2 linked regions of the Cricetulus griseus genome follow. The protein of the gene in region 1 interacts with the protein of each later gene in a biochemical or structural test. Links are inferred from orthologs where the notes say so. Each region holds a gene or a part of one and is shown on either strand. Other genes may lie near its edges. The genes, in order: Clspn and Csnk1g1.

The links.
Region 2: of the proteins of Clspn (region 1) and Csnk1g1, one has a biochemical effect on the other in vitro, tested with the Homo sapiens proteins (2 studies listed by BioGRID). The link is inferred for Cricetulus griseus from reciprocal best matches to the Homo sapiens genes CLSPN and CSNK1G1.

Annotation. Positions count from the first base shown.
Region 1 is NC_048595.1:26,456,424-26,460,251, reverse strand, and holds part of Clspn (claspin), read left to right. Parts: intron 1-643; coding exon 644-873; intron 874-1,801; coding exon 1,802-1,910; intron 1,911-3,828.
Region 2 is NC_048597.1:177,613,473-177,617,300, forward strand, and holds part of Csnk1g1 (casein kinase I), read left to right. Parts: intron 1-2,191; coding exon 2,192-2,426; intron 2,427-3,828.

The sequences.
Region 1 (3,828 bases):
AAAGAAGGAATGGTAACTGTGCCTTATGGTTCCAGCGGATACCCTGTGTTATGGCAGGTCAGTCACAGTGGCAGGAGCAGAAGGCACTGGGCACATTGCCTCCATAGTCAGGAAGAAGAAAGCAATGAATGCTTACATTCAGCTCCTTTTCTCTTTTTCAGTCAGTATAGGACACCCCAGCCCATGGATTAGTACCACCCACAGTTAGGTTGGGTCTTCCTACCTCAGTCAACCTAACCTAGATGATCCCTTGAAGACAGCTTTGTTTCCATGGTGATCCTAAGCCCCATCAAGTTGAAATTCACAATTCACACCAACTTCTTTTTGTCTTTCTTTTTACAATTTTTCAAAATTACATTTTGTTTATCTTGTGTGCATGTACGTGTGAGCACACATACACATATACAAATGCCACAATACACATGAGAAGATCATAGGACAACTTGTTGGAGTTGGTTCCCTCCACCATGTGGATCCTGGGAATTGAACTCAGATCATCAGGCTTGGCAGCAAGCACCTTTACCCACTCAGCCATCTTGCTGGCCACGTTCAGCTTCTAACCCTGGTGTTGGAAATCAGACAGTTTTTACTGGCGGTTTTGTCTCTTCTCTGGGTCATTTCTGACACTTGGTTGTGCTTGTAGATTTTTAAACATTAGAAATCACCGGAATCGCTATCAAGCTTTGAAGCCTCAGTTGCCACTGGCCAGTATGGATGAGAATGCCATGGATGCCAATATGGATGAGCTGCTGGATTTGTGTACTGGACAGTTTACATCTCAGTCTGAAGAGAAATGTCAACCCACAGGGAGTGACAAAAAAGAAAACATGGAGGAACTTCTGAATCTTTGCTCCGGCAAATTTCCTTCCCAAGGTAAATATTCAGTGAAAGTTCTTGGCTTACCACAGCCACACAGCTTACATCAGTGTCCCTGATGGAAGCCCTTGCCCCTTGAAGTGAGTGTACGGAAAACAGGCATGTGCTGGAATTCATTCCTAGTTCCTCACCTTTACAGCTCTTGCTTTCTTAGAATGACAGTGTCAGCTTAGGAATGCTTCCCTAGCTTCGGCCACATAATGTATAACTTAAACTTAACCTATATACAAAGCTTAAAACCTTATCTGGTATATAGTAAATGTTACGTGCTGGAATAGGACATAGGCTCTATGAGGTAATTGGGGTATATTGTTCATTACTGCCTTCCAGGGGCTTGGCACACAGTAAGTATGAGGATTTGTTGAAAGAATGGATGGATGGTGAACTGTAGCGATAAATCTTTCCACCAAGCCGCCCGAGCCCCGCCACCATGTGGATGCCCAAAATAACACACAGAGATTAATGTTAGGTACAGTGCTGATGGCCAATGACTAGGATTTCTTACTCTATATATTTTATAAAGACTTATCTTATTGAATGCCAGCAGCAGGCATCTTCTCTTGCCGGGATCACATGGTGGCTCCAGAGAGAAGAGAGGAGGAGGAAGAGAGCGATTTCCTGCTTGTCCCTGCTTATATTCTGAGTCTGCCTGTTATGTCATTTCCTGCCTAGATCACAAGACTTCTCTTTACTACATTTCCCAGAATTCTCCTCAACTCCTAGTCCCACCTATCTTGCTTCCCTATTGGCCAACAGTGCTTTATTCAGCAACCAATAAGATAAGCATGCACAGAAGGACCTCCCCCATCAGTGGACTTTTTAAACATTTTACCTAAGAACTGAATTGAGCTGGCTGGTCTTTAGATGGCCAGGAAGAGTAAAGGTGTCATCTCCTTCCTCATTGATCTTTTCCTTGTTGAGGTAGATGCCTCCCCTATGGCTCCATTGGAGTTGAGCAACCAGGAGAAGAACAGCATAGATGATCCTATGGAAGAGGCGCTTGCTCTTTGCTCAGGCTCTTTCCCAACGGACAGGTGAGTCTCAAAGATTGGGAGGAACCCTAGGATCCCATTCACTGGGTTCAGCAATAGACTAAATAACTTTGGTTAAGGCAAATCAGAGACATTGCCCCACATCCATTAGGATGACTACAGTTTTATATAAACAACTAAGTATTGGTGAAGACAAGGAAAATCTCTGTTTACCATTGGTGAGCTGCTAGGAAAAACAATATGATGGTTTCTCACAATTCATAATAGAATTACCATCTGGTCCAGCAATTCCACTTAGATTCAAAAGATGTCTACAATCTCAGCACTTGAGGAGACTGAGACAGGAGGATCATGAATTCCAGACCAACCTAGCCTATACATTGAAATTTTGTCTCAAAAGCATGAGAGATACACACAGAGACTTAAAAGTAAAAATTCAAGTGGGCAGGTGTGGTGGTAAGCAGCTATAACTCTAGCACTTAGGTGGTAAAGGGAGTAGGATCAGGAAGGAGTTCAAGATCATCTTGGACTATATAAAGAGCCCCAGGACAAGTGAGAGACATGGGAAAGACCTGCCCCAAAAAACCACACAGCCTGGTGTGGTGTATACCTGGAATCCAGTATTCAGGGAACAGGAGCAAGAGAGTCAGAAGTTCAGAATCAGGCATATGGCTCAGTGGGTAAGGGCACTTGCCTTCAAGCCGAAAGACCTGGGTTCAATCCCTGATGTCTCACTGGTAGAAGGAGAGAACTGACTCCCACACATTGTCCTCTGAACTCTATATGCAGGCAATGGCATGCATGTAGTTATGGCAATGGCATGCGTGTAGTTACAGACGCACATGCTCTTGCATGTATATGCAGGCAATGGCATGCGTGTAGTTACAGACGCACATGCTCTTGCATGTATATGCAGGCAATGGCATGTGTGTAGTTACAGACGCACATGCTGTTGCATGTATATGCAGGCAATGGCATGCGTGTAGTTACAGATACACATGATGTTGCATGTATATGCAGGCAATGGCATGCGTGTAGTTACAGATACACATGATGTTGCATGTATATGCAGGCAATGGCATGTGTGTAGTTACAGACACACTTGCTGTTGCATGTACACACACTAAATGTATAAATAAACAAAGGCAAAAAAGCTTAAGGTCAGCCTCAGCTACATGAACTCCTTTCTCATAAATAAATGAATAAAACAGGTTTTTTAATTTGTTTTACATTATTTGGTAGTAGCCAAAATGAAGAGGGAAAGGCAATGGTCTGCTATCTTAGTTAAGGTTATTATCCCTGTGATAAAACACCATGACAAAAAAGAAAATGGGGGCGGAGAGGGTTCATTTGGCTTACACTTCACCTCACTGTTCATCATCAAAGGACATCAGGACCGCAACTCAAGCAGGGCAGGAACCTGGAGGCAGGAGCTGATGCAGAGGCCATGGAGGGGTGCTGCTTACTGGCTTGTTCCCCATGGTTTTCTCGGCCTGCTCTCTCAACACCCCTGCCTGCCTCCCCCCAATCGTTCATTTAAAAAATGCCCTACAGGGTTACATACTGCTCTGTCTTATGGAGGCGTTTTCTCAATTGAGGCTCACTCCTCTCTGGTGATTAAAGCTGTGTCAAGTTGACATAAAACTAGCCAGCACATCTGCTAAATACAACTTATACACATTAAATGACTTTAAAAGGAAGAAATCTGCTTTTGTTGTCTGAGACTAGGTCTTCCTATCCAGGCCAGACTGGCCTGGAGTTCACTGTTGGTTCAGGCTGACCACAAACTGGTGATCCTTCTGCCTCATCCTCCAAGTGTGTACATCCAGCCCAACAGGAAGGAAATCATGACACATGCCTTAACATGAAGGAACCATGAAGGTATTATGCTAGGAGCAAGAAATATTCGTCATAGGATAGATACTGTGTAAGTCCATTCTGTATAGTCTTGGGAATAGAC
Region 2 (3,828 bases), on another chromosome or scaffold:
CATGCCCTCCTTCTCTCACTGTTGAAAACTAGAAAAGATTGAAAGTACTACCCCCTGCACTAATGTTTTCAAAATCATGTGGCTGAGATGTTTAATTCCCTGGCATATTATATACTTTGGGGCTGGCCAAGAAGCTTTGCGGCCAAATTACATACTAGTTCCAGCTTATGCAGTTAGAACAGTCTCTATGAGAAGTTTTTTAGGCCCTCAAGGGAAGAATTCAAATGTTGGATTTTTTTTTAAGATTTTATTTATTATGTATACAATGTTCTGCCTGCATGTATGCCTGCAGGCTGGAAGAGGGTACCAGATCTCATTTAAGGTGGTTGTGAGCCCACCATGTGGTTTCTGGGAATTGAACTCAGGACCTCTGGAAGAGCACTCAGTGCTCTTAACCTCTGAGCCATCTCTCCAGCCCAAATGTTGAGTTTTTTTGCTTTGTTTTATATTATTTTTTGTTTTGTTTTGTTGAGATGGTCTCACCAGCTTAGACTGGCTTTGAACTTTAGATCCTCTTGCTTCAGCCTCCTGAGTGCTAAGGTGGATGTGTACCACCACAGCCTTCAGGTACATCTTAATTCAAAGTAGTGGTGGTTTCACCATCATCCAGCAGCAATTTGGAAACACTTGAAAACTGACCAAAATCTAAATATTTAAGTCTCCTTTTTGCTATGTAGAGATGCTTTATAGATAGAATTACTTAATGAAATTTGAGACAATGTTACAGTTACTTATTTCAAGCTGTGGTTACTATAGCATAAAGACTGCACGTCCTTTGTATTTCTGTAGTACCAAGATTTGGGTTAGAGAGTCTTGAGCACCTGAAGACACATAGTGTGGGCAGGAGGTAAAGTGGCAGCTATACCTGTCTCAGAGTGCATGCTTGCAAGTTACAAAAATATTATCATGTTAGCCAAATTGTACTGTCTCATTTTTTCCTCCTAATCTTGATAGTTGTTATATATTTATAATAAAAGTACTAGGAATGGGGTGTGCTAGAGATTTCAGTTAAGAGCAGTTACTGCTCTTGCAGAAAACCTAAATTTGATTTGCAGCACCTACGTCAGGCAACTAACACACTGCCTGTAACTCCAGTTCCAGGGAATCTGACAGCCTCTGGCCTTGTGGGCACATGCACACAACTGGTATATGTAAACTGTAAACATGCAGATGAATAAATAAAATAACAAAAGAAACCTTAAAATGGCTGGGCGTTGGTGGCGCACACCTTTAATCCCAGCACTCGGGAGGCAGAGGCAGGTTGATCTTTGTGAGTTCCAGACCAGCCTGGTCTACAAGAGCTAGTTCCAGGACAGCCTCCAAAGCCACAGAGAAACCCTGTCTTGAAAAACCAAAACCTTAAAATGGAGTTTTGGTTTGTAAGTCAGTGAAGTGCAAGATAAATAAGGGATGGATTTTTTTTTTTTTTTTTTTTTTTTTTTTTTTTTTTTTTTTTTTTGAGACAGGGCCTTACTATGTAACCCTGGCTGTCCTGGAACTCTCCAATATAAAGCAATTCATAGAAATCCATCTGGGATTAAAGGCATGCACCACCACACCCAGCCAAGAGATGAGTTTTATTTTAATTTTATTTTCTGAAACCTTATGCTGAGTCAGACAATGGCATATATACATACAGTGCCAGCTACTTAAGAGATCTAGATAAGAAGATTACTTAAGTTCAAGATCTCAAGGCCTAACCTAGACAGCATAGTGATACAGAAAACAATGAGAAGGAAAAAAATAAAACTGAAAAAAATATTTGGGGGCAGTGAAATGGCTCATCAGGTAAAGATGCTTGCCACCAAGCAAGCCCGACAGCCTAAATTTAGTCCTCAGGCCCACATGGTAGAAAGAACTGACTTCTGCAAGTTATACTCGGATCACCACACCATGCCCATGGATGGATGGATGGATGGATGGATGGATGGATGGATGGATGGGCGGGCCGGCAGACAGACAGACAGACAGACAAGCATAATTTTAGGAAATATTTTGGGCCAGGTATAATGGCATGTGCCTTTGATCTCATCCTTGAAACCTGTTAGTTCTGGGACAGCCAGAGCTACATAGTGAGAGCCTGTCTCATGGGGGCGGGGGGTGGGGGGGCATTTTGGATCGTGTTTCCCCACACCCACTCCCCCAACATGCTTATTTCAAGGTATTTCCATTATTTTTTTCTTTCTTTTAGCTTTCTCGAATGGAGTATGTACACTCAAAGAATCTCATTTACCGAGATGTCAAACCAGAAAACTTCTTGATTGGCCGACAAGGCAATAAGAAAGAACATGTAATACACATAATAGATTTTGGACTGGCCAAGGAATACATTGATCCTGAAACCAAAAAACACATACCTTACAGAGAGCACAAAAGCTTAACTGGAACTGCACGATACATGTCTATCAACACGCATCTGGGCAAAGGTGTGTTTAGAAGGGCAGGTCATATGAACTACTTTCTTTTCCAATAGCACTTTATTGTGCATTACATTGTGCACTACAGCTTGTACCATTTGTTGTATCACAAGGTAAGTGACTTTTTTATACTTAAAAGATTGAAATGGTAAGTTAGTGATGTTCCCAAATACCTTAATACTAATGGAGTCTTGATTCTTTCAACTGTGGTTTTTGTTTGTTTTTGTTTTTTCAACTGTGTTTCCTACTGCTTCATTCCTCAGTAATTTAAGAACTTGAGTTATTATTTTAAAGATTTTTTTTATTTATTATGTATACAACATTTTGCTTCCATGTATATCTGCACACCAGAAGAGGGCACCAGATCTCATAACAGATGGTTGTGAGCCACCATGTGGTTGCTGGGAATTGAACTCGGGACCTCTGGAAGAGCAGTCGGTGCTCTTAATCTCTGAGCCATCTCTCCAGCCCCAAGAACTTGGGTTATTTTATTTTAGATCTCATTTTATTATTATTATTGCATGAGTGTTTTGTTTGCATATACGTCTGTGTTCATGCATTTGTGGTACCCTTAGGCCAGAAGAGGGTGTGGAGCCTCCTGGTAGAGTTAGACTGTTCTGAGCGGCCATGTGGGTGCAGGGAATCCAATATAGATTGGTTAAGAGCAACCAGGGCTCTTAACCACTGAGCCATCTCTCCAGCCGCTAAGAACTTGAGGTATTGCAACAAGATTGTAGTAATTGAATAGGTTTAATAATGAGACTTGTATTTACACTTGTATGACCCTGTGTATTAGCAGACAAAAGGAAAACATCAGGCTTGTGCCTGTGTTAGTGACGAGGTTTCACTAAAATATGGATTAAGGAGCTGAAGAGATGGCTCAGCAGTTAAGATCACTGGCTGCTCTTACAGAGGACTAGGTTCCATTGTCAGCACCCACATGGCAGCTCATAACCATCTGTAACTCTAATTGCAGGAGATCTGATACTCTGTTTTGATCTCTCTGGTACCAGGAAACACAATGTGATACACAGATATACATTCAGGCAAAATGTGACTTGGATAGAATGTTTAGCCCAGTGGGTCATTACATGTGTAGTTATCTTTATTATTCTTCAAGGTATGTTTTGAACATCTACTCTGTGTGATAAGTGAAGTACTTCTTCATCTTGATGTACTGCCTTTGCCATTAAAATTATCTCATTATCTCCAGAATGGGCTTTTGTGAGGTTCAAGTGTTCTTCAGGTCAACTCTAACATGTCCTAACATTTTGGTTGTTCTCTCCATTTTGTAAAAAAAAAAAAAAAAAAAAACTCTCCCTCCCTCCTCTCTCTCTCTCTCTCTCTCTCCTCTCTCTCTCTCTCTCTCTCTCTCTCTCTCTCTCTCTCTCTCGTGTGTGTGTGTGTGTGT